Linked DNA regions of Drosophila melanogaster. The protein of the gene in region 1 interacts with the protein of each later gene in a pairwise test. Each region holds a gene or a part of one and is shown on either strand. Other genes may lie near its edges.

The links. The genes of interacting proteins can lie anywhere in the genome.
Region 2: the proteins of Rsph3 (region 1) and CG14840 interact in a two-hybrid assay, tested with the Drosophila melanogaster proteins (one large-scale study listed by BioGRID).
Region 3: the proteins of Rsph3 (region 1) and CG14635 interact in a two-hybrid assay, tested with the Drosophila melanogaster proteins (one large-scale study listed by BioGRID).

Annotation. Positions count from the first base shown.
Region 1 is NT_037436.4:6,756,129-6,765,223, forward strand, and holds Rsph3 (radial spoke head protein 3), read right to left. Parts: upstream 4,987-9,095; 5' UTR 4,763-4,986; coding exon 3,813-4,762; intron 1,983-3,812; coding exon 1,892-1,982; intron 1,807-1,891; coding exon 1,391-1,806; intron 1,327-1,390; coding exon 804-1,326; 3' UTR 501-803; downstream 1-500. Other genes in the region: Ist1, read right to left, coding at 1-30, 95-276.
Region 2 is NT_033777.3:14,259,708-14,264,189, forward strand, and holds CG14840 (uncharacterized protein), read right to left. Parts: upstream 1,507-4,482; 5' UTR 1,477-1,506; coding exon 574-1,476; 3' UTR 501-573; downstream 1-500. Other genes in the region: MetRS-m (Methionyl-tRNA synthetase, mitochondrial), read right to left, coding at 1-40, 107-200; CG14841 (uncharacterized protein), read right to left, coding at 1,813-2,520, 2,593-2,709; CG14839 (uncharacterized protein), read left to right, coding at 2,754-3,602.
Region 3 is NC_004354.4:841,652-845,797, reverse strand, and holds CG14635 (uncharacterized protein), read right to left. Parts: upstream 976-4,146; 5' UTR 962-975; coding exon 602-961; 3' UTR 501-601; downstream 1-500. Other genes in the region: CG43867 (uncharacterized protein), read left to right, coding at 2,624-2,686.

The DNA of each region.
Region 1 (9,095 bases):
ATTTCCATTGCCTCCACCAAGTAGTCCTCCCTATGATGTACGATATATACGATATATGGAGGTATAAGAATGGCTCATATATTCCTGCACCCACCTAATGATGTGCTCCACGCGAATCCTCGCCCTTTCCGTTTTGCCCGTGGCCAAATAGTCGGCTATTTCCTTCCTGGACTTTTGCGTCAGCTCCGCCTTCTTCTTCTCCAGCAATTTCAGGCGATTGAGAGCCAATCGAAGATTGGTCTTCAGTTTGTTGTAATTGGGGCCGCTGGAAAACATCTTCACTACACCCTGGACTTCCGAATTAGTTGTGAAAACAAGGAAATTCGGTCAGTGGTGATTCATTAATTCGGTATGGAAAAAACAATGTGACGTCACGTGCAGTGTGACCGTACATGCAGACCCCTTAAATACCAAGGTAACATTGAAATTTCAAATTGCTTGGCTCTATTAATATTTTAATTTAATTTAACAACCGTTTAAAATATTTTCTAAAATGTTTTGTTCGGCTTATTTTGTTGAGCTTTATTGGTTGAATTTTCGGTAACACAAAAACCTTTAACAAGTATCCAGTTTACAATATGCCATTCCATTTTTTCGATGCCATTTCGCCGCCGCCGCTATGCAATTGTGTTTGGCGCCCAGGCTCGATTCGAATCCTGCGGCGAATTGAGTTCTTCACCAGACACAACCACAAAGTTGCAGCCAACCTTGATTTAATAGCAGGAGTGTGTTAGTGTTACATGTGTGCGGAATCAGTATCCCACTCGAAATATATATATGAACTAAAACTCGAACGCAATCACTTAGAGATGAGGAGCCGGTGGTGGCGGTTCGGGGCACTCCTCCATTTCCGTTTCCGATTCGCAGGGACACGCCTCCATCTCATCGATGGCACAGCCCTCCTCCTCACAAACGCCCGCATCCGGTCCGGATGGTTCCGATTCAGGTTCCTTGTAGCCGGCATAGATCTCGGCACGCTGCTTGATAATCTCCTGAATGATGGCGGTGAGAATCTCGCGCGAGTCCACTATATGGCCCACTTCCTCGGCCACCTCGGCGGACAACCACGGGCAGACGCTCTTCATAAGCTGCTCCTTCTTAACGGCATCGCTGGCCGGCTCAATGTTCTCCAGCACCTCCGGCACCAGACTGGCAATGTGTCCCTGGAGCAACTTGGCCGCCGTCACGCTCTTCTGCATCTCAGCGTCCAGCTCCTTGGCAATCGCATCTTGTCGCAGGCGACGCTCCTTCTCCGCCTGCAAGCGCAGCTCCTCAGCCTCCAAACGGCGCAGCTCGGCCAGTTCCGCCTCCCTCTGGGCCAGGAATCTGTGGGTAACACAAAACGCCATTATAGTAATCTGAAGATTTACTTTACACTTTTTATACGTACTCTTCCTGTTTGCGTCGCAGACTGGACAGTTCCATCTCGTGAGCCACCTCCAGCATGCTTTGTTCAATGCAGGCGTCCACCAGGACATCGATGATTGGCTGCGCCTCGGCATCGAAGTGGAAGAGTTCGCCCTCACCGATCTCGGTGGCCACATCCACGCCCACCTTGGCCGGTATGAACGGAGGCGTCGGCGGCTTCTCGAGGAACAGGTCCGTCTGCGTGTCGATGGTGAACTCCGGCGGACGCTGCACCAACTTCTCCAGATACTTCTCCGTCTGTATGGTCTCGTGCTTCCGCCCCTTGACCGGCGGCGGTGTGCCCAGGACATTTCTCTGATTGCGGCACTGCATCGTCCGTTTGCGCAACATATTGCGACGCCTCAATTCGGCGGCCTTGTCGAAGGGATCCACATCCGTCTGGAGAGGAAGCAAAAAGTGGATTAGTCGTAGGTCAGGGCTGCCAGAGCACTGAGCTAAGCTGAGCTGAACTGATGGGACTTACCACCAGAGAGGCGTTGCCGAAGTTGCTGCCCTTTATGACGCGACGGTCGTACATGACGTTCTTGTAGGGTTCCGGCGGCGGGACGACGGGTCTGCAAGAGGAGCAAAGTGGAGAAGCGGGCATGGAGTTGCCCAGGTGGGAGCCACCAATTAGTAAGCCTCGACCCAGTTCAACAAACTGCTCATGCAGCAAAAAAGCTGCAGACTTTTTGAAAAGGTTCGTAAATGTGCAACTTAAAAGGATTACTACATAAATGGTTAAGTTCTCTAATAAATATGATATCTATGTATGGATAAATATTGTAATTGCTGCTGGAAAAGCAAGTTAAAAGTGTATGAGTTTTAGTTATCTTTAGATTTGTTAACTTCTTTCTATTAAAGTTTAAATATTTTATTTATTTAGTTTTGATTTGCTGCAGTTTCAGTGCACTTTGCTGCATTTGCCAAGACCCAAATCTGTTGCACTATCAAGGCGATAAACATCAAATTTGTTCATTTCCCAACGCCCTCGCAGACTGCTTGTCAGGTCATCTCCGATTCGAATCAATTTCGCCAAAGTTCAGTACACTTTTGGGTCAGAGTTTAAAGCCTGCTTAAAGTTCCACGAGTCCAGTCCGCGGTGGCTGAGTAATTTATGACTTGCTAATTTATATGTATAGCACCGGCAAGTAAATGGGGAAACAAACATTTCTTACATTTCTACATATATGCTGATACATACATGCTGACTGCGAGTAGAAGTAGTATATAACGTAGTTAGACATTGCACTAGAAGAACTTGGCACCTGAACTCGTGACCTATGCAAATTCGCAGCTACTTTTGGCCCACAAACAGGAAGTCACATTGAAGTTGCTGGCGAATGTCTAACAACATTTCTCTGGGTCTGGGTCTGCGCACCACAGACATCAGCAAATGGAACGGGAAACCCTTAGTGCGATGTCCTTATGAGGGATATATGGTCTGAACGAAAATCTAAGTTGGTGAATCCTTTTTGAGTTATAAAATAGTTATCTCCCTAATAGGTTCTTTATTTAAACGTTGAGTGTGATATTTCATTTTTCGTAACCCAAAAAGTATAGCCCATTTGGCCGAACAACATCCCATTTGGGTAAAAACGACCGGCAGGACCTGTTTTTTGTTTTTTTTTTTTTTTTTATTATTGTGCCATAGGTGTCCTTCTTCTCTGGTGTGGTAATTGAACTTAATATCCCTCCATTTGTGCTTTGGTACAATGGGTACATATTGTTGTTGTTTACGAAATCTTGATTTAAATTATTTAAGCCCCGAGCTGGGAATATAGAATATTCTCCGCTGGCACGACACATTCGAGGGTCCTTTGTCCCTTTGTCCATTTGTCCATTTGTTCGCATGTTCTTTTATGCAAGGCAAACGAGTTTTCCCATTCGAGAATGCGCTAAATAAATTAATCAAACCGTTCAGGGAATTTACAATGTCCGAATGTTATTGGAAAAGCATTTCTAATTGAATTGTTAAAGAGTTAATTGTGAAAGTGGGTGAGCCACACAAGAAACTTGGCTGATGAAGAGCCTTCCATTCTATTTGCGTGTCATAGTAAAGTCTAAAAACAGATCAATAAGGTATCATCTTGAATCTATATCAGTTTAGATAACAAATCCTTGAAGGATTCAATTCGGCACTTTAAACCACAAAACCTATTTGTAATTGAATTGTTTGGGTGTCAATCGATAATGGCCGTAGGAACTGAAGTGGGGAGCTAAGTTCTGGTTCCATTGCAGAATGGCAGTGTAGGTACGTACGTATTACTCATTTGAATTTATGGTAATATATTTTGGCCCACTTTGCCTTGGTCAGTTGTCGGACCTTTTCCACTTCCCACCTTTTTTTTTTTTACTTCCAAGTTTAGCACCCATACCATTTTGGGGGTTGGTCTTTTTATTACCTCTTGTCGCTGATGTTGCTGCTGCTGTTGTTGTTGTTGTTGCTGGTGGAGCGACGCTGTTGCAGTTGTTGTTGGAACTGAGCCTTGGTGATGTGGAGTCCACCGGCGAGGGATTGCGTATCGTTACGGGAGGATTTGGAGGCCGCAGCTGTGGCCGCCGCCACTGCCGCCGTGGCACGCAAACCGTTCAGCCGGGTGGCGGTCACCTTCTGCTCCTTGCTCTCACTGCCGGTCTCCTTGGTGAGATACCCTTGGAGGATCATGGGATATGAGGAGTAGGCGTAGACATGCCTCCTCAGCATGGTGGCCGGTATCATTTGGACCTCATGCGGAGGCGGCAGGAAGATGCCCTGCGGCACTGTGGTCTCGAATCGTGGTCGCTGCGACATCGCTGGATCCATCCAGGCACCGGAATTGGCGCTCTGGCGACCGCCGTAGTTCTGCTCCTCCGGCGCCAGGAAGCGCAGCTTCTGGCTCAGCTCATCGGCGAAGCTGCGCACCTCCTGGTTGCTGCGCGAGAAGTGCGATCGCTGTGGAGGATTCCCTACATGATTATCACGGTTATCAGCTATGCCCGCCTCACGTCTAATCGGACGCACGATGGCCTGTTGGGGTCGCGTTGGATAGGAATCGAATTCGGGCTCCTCGGAGGGCTGATGGCGCAGCACCGAGAATGCGTTGGTCACCACGTGCTGGAAATTGTAGGGACTCTGATAGCGCTGGACGTTGAAGCCGCCGGCGTTGTAGTTGGTGGAGCTGTAGTTGGTGTTCGAATTGGAGCTGGACGAGACGCGTCCTGGTGCGTAGGGATAGCTGCTGGCGAAGGAGAAGTTCTGCACGCGATTCGGTCTATTGTCGGTGAGGTGCTCCAGTTCTGGCACTGGCTGTGGATCTGGCTTAAGTTCAGGATGTGAGTGTGCTGGGTGCTGCTGCTGCTCCGTCTCTGGCATGGTCTCCGCTACCGTCTCGGTTATCCCTGCTCCCGGCCGCCGGTCACCTCGTTCATTATAAATAGCCACCACACGGTTCTCTCACCCGCCGCACCGAAAAACTTAATCAATACTTTTCCTATATTTTTCCCTTTTGTGCGCCGCTCAGGTGTTGCGTTCGTTGGTTGATTGTTTGATTTTGTCGCGGAACACGTACCGCACGGCTCGAATGGCAAACGCCAAATGACCAAAGGACTCGCAGGACTCGTGGAACTCGCGCTCGGACCCGGTTTCGACTTTGGATTCGGCCCGTGGTCAGCAGTCGTCGTGCAGTTGGAAAAATATGTGGAACATATAGTCTCCTACTGCCCACGACTAAAGCTTTCCAGGAATTGAGCTGTTACTTCAAAGGACATTTTTAGTAAAAATATCCTTAAAGTGCTGCAATTGGTTTATATAGAAAATTGCATATTTAAACTATTCATGTTGCTGTTTCATAAGTTTAAATAACAATACTTCGCGTGCGTGCCACAATGTAAGTTTCTATACTATATACACATATTTTTCAAATTTTTTTCTGAGTGTATCGCTTGCTTCGCAGTTTGAGGCACATGATGGGCAGGTGTTGCAATAATAATGCGAACTGTTAACAGTCGGTGGCATTGGCATGGCCAAATCCACGTTCCCAGGAATTCTACTTTGCATAAGAGCTTTTTCTTTTCCATCCAAGTAGTTTCGTTGGGGTCTCCAATTAAAGGTTTCGCCCGGCGGAGGGACCTTGAATTTGTTTCGATGGTGTCCACATTTCCTTTCACATTGTCGGAGATGACTTCACGCATTTCCCTGCCTGACATTGAAAAAGGAGGTGGGTGGCTCTCTATTACTTGGAACACCTCCTAGGTATTGTCAATGGCCAAGGTCAATTGCTTGGACTGCCTGATAAGCGGAATTCAACAGGGAACTAAGCATAATTAAGTAGATTTCTTGGCACTCCAAGGAGTCACTCTTTTTTACTGGCAATGAAGAAAGGTCAGTGAATAGATGAAAGATTATTGTAACAGGAATTGGTAAGAATGTATCAGAAGTCCAAAAGCTTTTGGTAAAGCCTGTTGTTAAAAAAGGTAATTTTCTTTCACTCAATCATACTTCTATATGATTAAATTCGTTGGCTGACCTAAAGCACGGTATTCTTATCCTAATTTGAACATATACAGTTCAGAATTGATGTACTAATATATTCGAATAAATGATAAGATATAAGATATACCACACTGTAGTATTTATTCGATTTTTAGCTTGAGAGAAGAATGAGCACTTTACTACAACTGGATTTAGATACACTATAGTTTATTGGGTTTTTATCATATTTGGGGATCATCCTTATTCCCTGGTTGACCTTAATCCGACCCAAGTCCAGCCCCCGTCATTATCGGTAGTCAGATATATTTGTATATTTTTATGATACTAGTGCGTCAATTTCTACAATAGTTTTAAGCACTCATCGACTTCCACACTCCTCATAATTTCCTGTCCTGTGCACTCCTTCTATTGTTTCCCTTCAGAACACGAATGTTTCTATTCAAAATCGTACCAAGTTTGCGTGTCCTTTAGTGGGGCCATTGTATTGACCATCAGCCGAACACGGCCAGCGTTTAATAATTTATTTACGCAATTTATGACTTTCGTTTTTGGTCTTGGGTTCCATTGACCCCAGTGGGGAGACATATAAAGGTGTAGAAAATTCCCCTGCAAGGCGTTACAAAAAGCAATGGTTTTGCAACTATAGGATACTCATTACAAGAGGAGTAATACCCATGATAATTAACTCGAGCTTACAATTTCTAATGGTTCATATTTGTAGCGTATAAATGATTTCTTAACTACTTATTGAATTATTATATATTATATAAATTACAAAGAAAGTAAGAAAGTTGATTAATATTATAATATAATTTTACGAAATATTCAATATACCCTACTTGTCGGACTTAAATTACAGGGAATTACAGGGAAGCATGGGAAATTCTTTGGGTGGCTTCTGTTTGATACTTACTTGGGGCAACCTTTGATTTTGATCGGCTTGGGATGGCTGGCCCACCAAAATGCCTGTTTGCATGGTGGCGCTGGACAAGGATTCTCGTGCCACTTGAGCTGCATCTCGGTGACCTCGGTTCCCTTGATGCCGGAACTGAGGAAATCCATTCCTGAGCTTTTGCCACCACCATTGGGTTTGTAATCCCTCTTCGGGATCGTCGGCATTGCTAACTATTGCTATGTTGCGTTATTGAGGTTTTTAAAAACTTAAAATATATATATCGGATAAAGGTCTACCGCTTGCCAAATTTATGTGTACAAAATAGATTTATTTATGTGACACATTTTCACTGGAGTTCTTTGTCCTATGTTTTTATCTCCATATTTAAAAAAATATTGTATTATCAAAAAATTTGTATCCAAAATAAACAACGACGGCGGAATTTCCTCAGTTGCCATGGGAATTGAAAGTCGGCATTGTTAAACTGTTGCTGTGTGGGGATGGGTCTTTGGCAATGCACTTTATTCGTATTAACACTCGATAGATTTTGTTCGTTTTTTGACTGAAAGTCTATCGAGACATTTGCAATTTTTCCTTCTAACTTTCGCTTAGCGAATGGTCACTACACATTCCCATATATTATACACAACTAACTATCATTCAGTATGAGGAATCTATTTTTATATCTTCCTAGCAAGGAGAAACTAATGCAAAGCAACTTTTTCTAAGGAGCTTTATTAGCTTTTAGCTGGACTTGACCAAATACCAATATAATTTATTTATTATTTATCATTATCATTTTATTATTACTGATTTATTATTCCAACTACATTGCATGCATTCTGCAGATACAGCTGCTGTTCGGGATTTTGATTCATAGATAGATTTTTAATTGACACTTTAAGCGCATCGTTAAATTTAAGCAGGATGGCAGAAAAATAATTATTTATGTTTTTTGTATAAATTTTACAATTTTTAAAATTATTCATTAAGGTCTAAAATGGTTAAAACATTTTACAAGTCCTAAGCAAAATAACTATATTTTTCTACATGACATTATACACTTACAATGTGAATATTTTTTTACAGTAAAATGTATATTATACATATGTATACTTTGTTTTACTTGTCAGCAAGCAGTAAACCCGAACCTAAATTGCAAGCAGTTTTCAATGCTACTATTTATTGGCTAATATTAAATAGTTTACAGTAACAAAGAAAAAAGTTTATAAAAAAATTTTATTTCAAAATTGTTATCATCGATTAGTGGTAAGTTTGCAGATAAATTACATTTTTGGTCTATTTGGTTGCACAATTGCCTTGGGGACATCAAAAAATCTCACTAATTCCTTGATATTAAAATGACTTTGAATTTTCTAAACTATTTATCACTAAGTTAAATCGCTTGCCATCAGTTAAAACGTTTCGATGTAGCCACGCCTGAATCGAATTTCCCTGGAACGTGTCATTTAATTAGGTTTTCAAGGCTTATCATATCTCGGACTATCGAACGTTTGTCATTTGAATTGACCCCCTTTTTCTGTTTCGAGTTACACAGAATCTTTTGTATGGTTCTGTCTATTCATTAACAAATAGTTCGAAGGACTTTGGTCTTCGGACTGGACAACAATGACGTGGCTGTCAACGATGACGTTTCGCTTTATGCGGGGGTGATAATTGCGTCCGAAGCGAACCCCTTGAAATTCCCGAAAATGCCTAATAAGATCACAGGAACAACAGTCCGCACTCGATAAGTGGCCATGACGTTTGACATTCGCTGTGGTCCTTTGGCCATTTAGTGAGTTCAAAGGTTAATGATGGCCACACAGGCGACAACTGGCGACTGAGATCTTGTCCCGCAATTTCCCGATCATTTGCTCAGATACGATACGGATTCTGCGAAGTCACCGGGCAAAGGCATCCCACTGAGTTTGTTGGCTTCTTGTCAAACAAATCATTTACTGCGGATACTCCTCGATATTCCTCAAGATACTATCCATTTCACTGTGTAGGTGTGAGCTGCAATTTTCCCTGGAAAAATTACGTCCAGCACGGGATTTGATTAATTTATTACCGCTTGTCGAAGGGAAAGTGATCTTCGGGTTCCTAACGGTTGCGGATCGTAAAAAACATTCGGCAGACACAATTGTTGAATTATCTGCGGGCTGCTGTTGTGGGCACTTTTTTATGAGTTATTTATGTGCGACTGTGGCGCCAACAGGATCATAAAATATGTAGTTATGGGTAAATCTGTGAAAATAAATGTAAGCGTAATCTGGAAAATATTGAGTGGCCTAGATTCACCACATTAGTCATTTC
Region 2 (4,482 bases), on another chromosome or scaffold:
TCGGCTATGACCGCTGAGTACAGGTGTCCAATGTGAGGAGCTATTTGTTAAAAATTATTTCTTTTTATTATCCGTAATATTGACTGATTTGGTCTAAAATGCTTACCTGCATTTACATAGAAAATTGGAGTTGTCACATAGTGCGAACTGTTGTAGCGAGTTCCCAAATATCTGAGGCACTTAATTCTTCTAATAAGCATCACTTTAAAAGCTATTTTAATATACAAATAAGTAAAAAAAAAAAACGTCTAAACAATTTGCCGGTTGATTTTATAACATTGAACAGCTGTGCCACCAGTGCTGCCCATCACTCGGCTAACAGTGCACGTAACAGTCTCATTTGACATAGATGCACACTTAACAGCGTAGACGCAAAATTTAACGGCTTAAAATTTTAAATTAAATTCAAAAGAATAAATCAAATATTTCCATGCAAATTAAACTTATTTAAATATATTTATTTAATACTAACAAAATTATCGTGAAACATTTTAATTTTTAGTTATAAAACCATTATCTTTTAATAGGAAACTTATTAAACCGAAATCGAAACGTAACAAAATATAGAAAAGATCAGTTGATCCCCGAATTCGGTGCTAGATTTTGGCTGCCTGCGCCGGAAAACTTTCCGGCCATCTTGCGCGGACCCCAGCGCACCTGCTGGCGGTGGGTCATTCGACGAGACCTCTGTGCCTTCTGCTTGGCCTCCACTGCAGCACAGGCCGCTTTGTAGGCCGCCTGCTTGGTCTTCTCGAAGTCCGTCTTGGCCTCGGTCATCTGGCGGGTTAGATTCTCCACCCGGTGCTTGGCAGCCTCCAGGAGCTGCGTCTTCTCGGCCAGCTCCTGCTGCGCTCCACTGGCCACGTTCTCGATATTGGCCAGATTGGACGTGGCGGCTATCACAAGGTTCTTCAGCTGATTGAGTTGCGATTGGGCCTCGTGGGCAGCCGATGCGGCGGCATTGGCATTCGCTTGGGTGTTTTGTAGGGACGAGGTCACCTCAGTGACAACCGCATCCGCCTCGGTCATCTCCTGCTGCAGCTGTTCAACAATCTGCTGCTTTCCGGCCAGTGCCGCCTCCGCCGCACGAGCGGATTGAGCTGCCTTGGCGGCCAGTTCGTTTTTGACCTGGGATGCAGCCGCCTCGGCAGCTGCCATCTGCGAATCGCTGGCTGCCTTGGCCTCCTGGGCGGCTTTTTGGGCAATGTTGGAGGCCTTCTGCTTGGGATCTCCGCGACCAAAGACGCCGGTTCCGCTGCTGCAGCCAACCCCTTTCTTCGAATTAGGTTCCCCACAGCCTTCGGATCCGCCTCCCAAACCGCCCGCCCCACCAGTTCCATCGATGCTGGCATCGCCGTACAATGCGGACAGGCATTGCTTGTCATTCGTTTCGGCGGGTCGGTAGTGGTAGCTCTCCAGTCGAGGGAACGCACGCAGCAGTAGCAGGACGAGGAGCAGCGCTTTCGTGCCAGGCATATTCCGATCAAATATTTGGAAACACTCGACGCTGACTCCATTCGGAAAGCCTGGTTTGACTGAAAAATTACCTTCTCTTAGCAAAAACAATTCGGAAAAACTACCTCGGATATTTGCCTTTCATTAATTTCATTGTTTAGATGGATACAACATATATGTATATCCTACATCCAGCAGCTATGAATAGTATTATGCATCTATTTAATTACATGCTCGCAGTATATTTTTTATTATATTGATATAATATATTATTTTTAAAAAAGTAGCATTATAAACTTTACAAAAATATATATATATGTATAAAATTTAAGTGATAATGGCTAATATTGATCGTTTCTAGCTTGAAGAGGATGCAGAGCTAATCGCCCTTTGCATCCTTTGAGCCTTTTGCTTGGCCTCCACTGCCGCACAAGCCGCCTTATAGGCAGCCTTCTTGGTCTTGTCGTAATCCTGCCTGGCAGCGACCACTTGTCTGGAGATGCTCTCCACTCTCCGATTGGCCGCCTCCAACAGCTGCCCCTTCTCATCCATCTCCAATTGGGCACCATTAGCGAAAGTTTCAATGTTGGTCATTTGAGCGGTGGCCTCAGCCAAAAGGACTTTCAGTTGGTCCAGCTGAATCTTGGCTTCGGAAAACGCTAACATGGCAGATTCTGCGTTCACCTGTGTGCTGTGGAGTGAGTTCTTAACCTCGTCCACAACGGCCACCGCCTCCTTTTCCTCCAGCTCCAGTTGCTCCATGATCTGTTGCTTGCCAGCAAGAGCTGCCTCCGCGGCTCGAGCAGCTTGGACCGCCTTCTCGGCCAGATCCTGTTTCACTTGGAGTGAGGCTGCCTCTCCGGCGGCCATCTGGGCGTCATTGGCCGCCTTGGCGTCCTGGGCGGCCTTAATTGCAATGCTGGAAGCCTTGCTCTTGGCATTCTTTTGGCTAAGGCCACAAGAATTTTGCACAGCAGAACTTGTTTCACACCCTTCCGATGATCCTCCACTTGCAGTCTGCTTCTTTTCGCTTGCTGGCTCATACAATCGAGCCACAACAGGATCCTTGTTCAATGGCGATGAGAAAACAAATTATAGACTAGGACTTTACCCACAGATTCGAGGGTTAGGACTCACCGAGTCGCTTATCATGATTATGTGGCTCCGCGAAACGCAAGCAAGGCTAAGCAGGAATAAGCACATTGCCTGGCAATAGAGCATAATCTCGATTTCCGGATTTGACAGGCATGGCATCTCCATCCGATTGACAGTCGGAAAAATGCTCGAGACAACGGAAAATGCGGATAGACACTCAGATCATGTGGCTAATAATTGTGTTATCCTCGCTCCCGGCATCCGCTACTGGCAATCATTATCGAACCCGCCGAAAGCCAATGCAGACGGAGGACTCAGACCTGATGAGGAGTTTCGCTGGTGGGCTCGGTGGCGGTGGTCCTGGTGATGGAACCGTGTGCGACATGTCAGGGGAGGATAGCAACTCGCCGGCAAAGAAGACGCGAAACCATACTAATGCCAAACAGCGATCCTCCGGAATCGCCGTCCAGGCGGCCAACGAGGCTAAAAAGGCAAACGATGATATGAAAAACGCCGTTAAGGAGGCCGCTGATAAAATCAAAGGTGAATACGCAGACAAGGCAAACGCTGCGGCCAAAGCTGCCGAAGCAGTGCTGTTCGGAAAGAGTCAGGTGCTGGAGCAATTGGAAGCGGAGGTCAGGGAGGCCGAAATGGTGGTGCAGGAGGAAAACCAGGAGCTGATCACCGCCGAGTCGAATGCACAGCTTGCCGCCAAGACGCACCAATTGGTCCAGCAGGAGCTCAAGACACTGACCATAAGCCTCAAGTTGGCCAAGGACATTAAGGATGCCTCAGATCAAGTATACACAGTGTGGCAACAATCGCTCGCCGACAAGACGGCACTATTAGAGGCTGCCCAGCGGCGGGTTAATGTCCTAATGCGGCAACTTAGCGAAGCTCGATTAGATTACGATAAGACCAAGAAGGCGGCACTAAGTGCCGCCAAAGCAGCGCAAGAGGCCAAACAGCGTATAGATCAATCGGAGTGTGAAGGCGGTTCTCGTGGCAGAAGGGGGCGACGAGCGTGGCTGGAGTACAAGGAACACCATTGATATACCATATATTTTGCATATTACAAGAAAACAACAAGAATAAATCAATTTGAATTTTAATCTGTAGTTTATTAAACTTTTTTCTTTAGGGAATAAAAATATAAAATTCCTCGACAGCGTGCAAAAAGTGCGCGCGTCTTGAATGGCTGCCAAAAAATGCTATGGAACTTTGCCTGTACAAGTCTGACCGATCGCCCCGATAGGAATATACATATCTGCCTGCTGTGTGTGTGTGTGTGTGTACAATTTTGGACAAATACCAGAGCGGACTAATTGCTAGTCTTAAGCGAAAGAATTGTTAAACTAGTAGAATACAAGGGAGCCGAACTAAAGATAGGCGTTACAAATTATGATTACGCTTGAGCTTCAATCAAGGCAAACAAACGTTCACAAAAATGTACATGATTTTATAACTTAGGTGTAAAATAATAAATATGCAATCAATGGAGTTAGTACAATTACAATTGGCTGCTGTTGTTGTGGTTGCCTGTTCACAATACAATAATTTCAAGGGTGATGCTTGGTTTCGTTCTCTAAATATATATATATATGTATATATATAAGCATGTGGTTGCGGATATTATTCTTAGTTCAATCAATTAATCAGTAGGTTAATTGGTAACAAACATAAATACGCAGAGCTCTACATAAAATAGTTTCTTCTTACACAATCCTGGTGACTTAAGGTTAGTTAATTTCTCATTACAGTAGATATATAATATAGATATTTATAATTCGTATGCAATATATGTACAATCTAACACAAGCCCCTGTAAGTAATTGTTTTTAATGTCTCCCATCGTTTATCTGTTATTCGCCTAAGCCCAACAATGTTATATTTATCAGCTTAGCTTAGTTATTTGTATTTGTTTATAGAATC
Region 3 (4,146 bases), on another chromosome or scaffold:
CCGACTAATGGGCAAAGTCACCTCCTTTGGCAGTAGTGGCTTCGGGGGTTTACTTCACCCATTGTGAGCCATTTGTTTGCTGGAATTGCATTCGTGGCTGCGAAATAACATTTTCCGTTTCCGTTCTTGTTGCGACTGCGTGCCACATTTGTAAAACTTGTGTGTTTAAGTCTGAAGTGTCTGAAGGAAAGTGGACCCCCTCCCCAACCCCCCTTGGCACACCACCAGCAATTAATGCCAAATGTTTTCTGCTTTAGGCCGCCGCTTCATTTCCTTCCAATTAAGTCGCCAATTGGCAGGCCAGAACGCCCCTGATTAAACAGGTGTACGGATGAGGACGGCCAAATCCGGTAAAACCTTCGCAATCTTTCACGCACGCAAGTCGAACCGAACTTTCTGCCTTTTCAGCTTTATGTTTAATCCAATGGTTTGGCCAAGTTTCGTCGCAGCGCCGAACACCAGCCAGCCATCGCATGCAAGTAAATTGTCCATATAGTCAAGTCAGGAAAATGTGTAAAATGTATTTATTGTGTTCGACTTTTAGCGGAATATGCGGGATCACATGTTTAATGTCAATGCCGAAATCCCAAACAATTTCCGCCTAGAACTGGTCGGGAATATTTCGAACTGAACCAGATGACCCGGCGTCTTGGAAAGATCTGCCAAAAATTCGATCGTAGCGCTCCAAGGCTTCGTAGGAGACCCGTGCTGACCGCAATGAGGGACGAAGGTAGCCCGTTGATGGAGATCCAGCTGAAGGAGGAGGAACTGGAAACGAATCGTGTCGCTGTGGCATAGAAAGATCGTTCCACTTGCGGGTCTGCTCCTGTTGGAGCTGCAGATCGGGCGCCTCATCGTCCAGGTCAGCGATATTCCGCCGATGGGTGGTGCTGGTGGAATCCGTGTCGGAATTTCCCTGGGCCCTGATACAGGCAAACAAGTCGCTTAAACTAGAGCACATATTTGTTGCTTCTGGGCGAGTTTGTCGGTGGTTCCACCCTATTTATAATCGTGCAGCTATGCAGCTGTTTTTGGCAAAGGGAATGGCTCAGCCAATTAGTACACTAAGTAGACTTAGTCATTACCAAGCGACCAAGCGAACAAATAAAAACACTTCCTAACAATGTTGGAAATTTTAGACGGTACTTGTACTTCACATTTGATTGGATATGCAGTTAGATTCTCCTTTGAGTAGAGGAGTACGAGTATACTCCTCAAACAGCTTAGCAAAGGTTAACTCAGACTGAAGAGATGTATGAAAGCTTACCATCAAGTCAAGCTGACGTTTCCTGCCACTTCCGCTCCGCCATTCATCATCGGTAGAGGAGGCTTCTTCATATTTCGCACAGCAATTTGACGTCCATCAATCAATGGGCTCCACACCCCCGTCCGCCCCCTTAACTGAGTGGCCACTTGAATGGCATAAAAAGCGGAAATTAATGCACTTAAGACATTCAAAATAGACGGCAGTCGATCTCTTGCGCGCTTCAAGTGGACCCCTTAGCGACGTTTAACCATCTTCCTCTACGCCCTTCCTCCCTTTGGACTCTTGGGTTCCGTAGGCCACTTTGGTGATTAATTGGACGGGAATTCCTCGAGGGCTATTTCCGCGGCCGGCTTTTCACCTTTCTTAAATGGCAATCCATTGAGTTCAGAACGCGCGAAGCAAGCGACCAAGGGCGAAATTAGCCCCGTTTTCCAAAATTATCGTAATACCAGGTGCAAAGAAGCAGATCCCAGCGACATGAATTGTATTAGCTAGAGAGCATTATTACTATTAGCTGCAAATTGTGTGTCATTTCCCATGATTGATTCATTGATGGATAGACCATCCTTTGGGTGGCTGGGTAGATGATTCCCAATGAAAAACCTCCCATGCTGAAAAACCCCAAAAGCATAAGGACCGCAAAATAACCATTTTTTAAGAGCTCAAACGGAATTCACCACACCGGAAAATACTGGGAACTTCTTCTTATCAGGGTTTGTGTCTGCACTAAGTTGAATAATTTGTTAGAGGGTGTATCAGATAAATGTTTACATCGGGTTGTAGAATCGAATTTGAAATTACACTGTAAATTTTTTTACAGATCCATTGAAAACTAAGAGGCTTAAGAATAATTTTTTGGAAGTATAACCAATTCCCAACTAATAAAGTTAATTAAGTATTCTGTGGCTTATGAAATAAAACCATGAAGAAACGTTGTGGTCAAATGCCCTGACTATCAGATACCTTTTACTTGGGCAATTTTCAGAATTAACACGCCTTCAGATATAGATGGCGCCACGTAATATTTTACATACAGATCTACAAAAGTATTTATATTTAATTAAGTATATTTTTTCAAACCTTTTACAATATTAGTTAGATTTTAATAGTTGTCGGAAGAAAAATTTAGATATATATAAAGGCAGGGGCAGGGGCACCCACCTGGTAAGAACTCCTGAAAATCTGACGAAACGATGTATAAATTACAAATATAAAAATGTAATTATATATAACAAACTAAAGCTGCAGAATAAGACATCAATATTATCCCACAATTGTTAATGCTTAGTCATGTTTAGATCCTGTTATTAAGGATATATGCGTGTTTTAACCAAGTCTCTTTCTTTCTACTTGCAGCTAACGGAGCTCGAACAGCGAGTCATTGAAGCGGAAGAACGCGCCGAGGAAGCCGAAGATAAGGTAAGCCATTAAATGACTCCCATCCCCCGCTTCTAATCCTTATCGCTTGGGTGGCAAAATTAAAACGATGGTTAGGGGATCCAGTCTATCCTGCACAGAGCCCCCACATTAGAGGACAGCTTAAAGGTGGAGGGTCCCCAGATTTTCATGACAATGATGTTCTATACAGGGATGGAGAAACTGTAGCTAAGGGGGGGTGTTCGTCGAGCAGGGGCCACTCACAGCTGTGACTAACAACAAAACTGGCCCGCCAACCTAAAATTTGTAACCAACTCAAGCGGCAGACACACACTTCGCGAAATTAATTCAAATTTTAAACTTACATAGCACTGTATGTGCATCCACTCCAAAATTCTAAAATCGGAAATCTATCTTTATAAGATTCATTGAAAAGAAAGATCTTAAGATACGACTACCAGTGATTTCTTTTAAATATATCTATACAGATGAGGTTGTTCCAAGTGTTCACAGAGGCTTTGTCCTTATTACCACCTTGTATTTTGTTGAGTGCCTCTACTTCTATTAAGGGAGGGGTAAAGGGATCCGGCTCCACAGCGTGTGCTCGGTACACAAGCCTACATCGAATTCCCTTGTCACCCAGTGCTCCCCGGATACACGCTTTAATGCAGGCCTGCGTTGGAGTTCGTGCTGCTGCAAGCGAAGTGAAGCTTTATAGCCCCTTTCCTCCGTGGCACAAAACTACCCCAAAAGGACGAAATACACAGGCTGTATTTGCCCCCTTCCGATTGCTCGATTCTGCCCCAGCTCCTCGTACTTATGCTTTCAATATCAAATGCGCATTGTTTACATTAACAAGTCCCCGGAGCCTTTTGGCTTTGCCTAACGCAACACGCCAAAAAACAAGCGAAATGCAAATATTTACACCATCTCCCTCGCGACATTTAGTTTCGCCTCTGCACTGCCCGAAAGAAAGGCAACCAGTATTGGTGGAAAAAGCGTTGAATACTTTATGCACACAGAAGAACCCTTAAATCGAACAGGAAATATTCTCTCCCATTTCTCTCTGTGCATTACATGCTCCCCCTACCAAATCCAGATCATGGGTAGCTCAGAGAGATAGAGCCACCGTTGCCCGGCGATGTTTCCCGGATCCTTGGCCACCTTCGAATCCCCGGCTTCACTTAGCTCTGTGTGCCATTCCCGGAGAGAGCAAGGGAACCCAGTCCCGTCGAACAAACTCCGGTAACCCCGGATACTCAAGAAGGCGGGGCTAACCACTGTGACAAATTGAATTCTTGTTACTTTGTTTGCCCCGAGATTAAATTCATGTACAAGCACGTGGATGTTAACTAGCTAACAGGATGGGCCAGAATGGCCATAGCCACCCCGATTTCCCAGTTTTCCTCTGATCCTTACTCCCCTTTAAATTGCCGGCAACCCTTCGGTTTTTTGGAGGCCAAACCGTTAACAGCCTCGTTACTTATGCATCAATTAGTCGT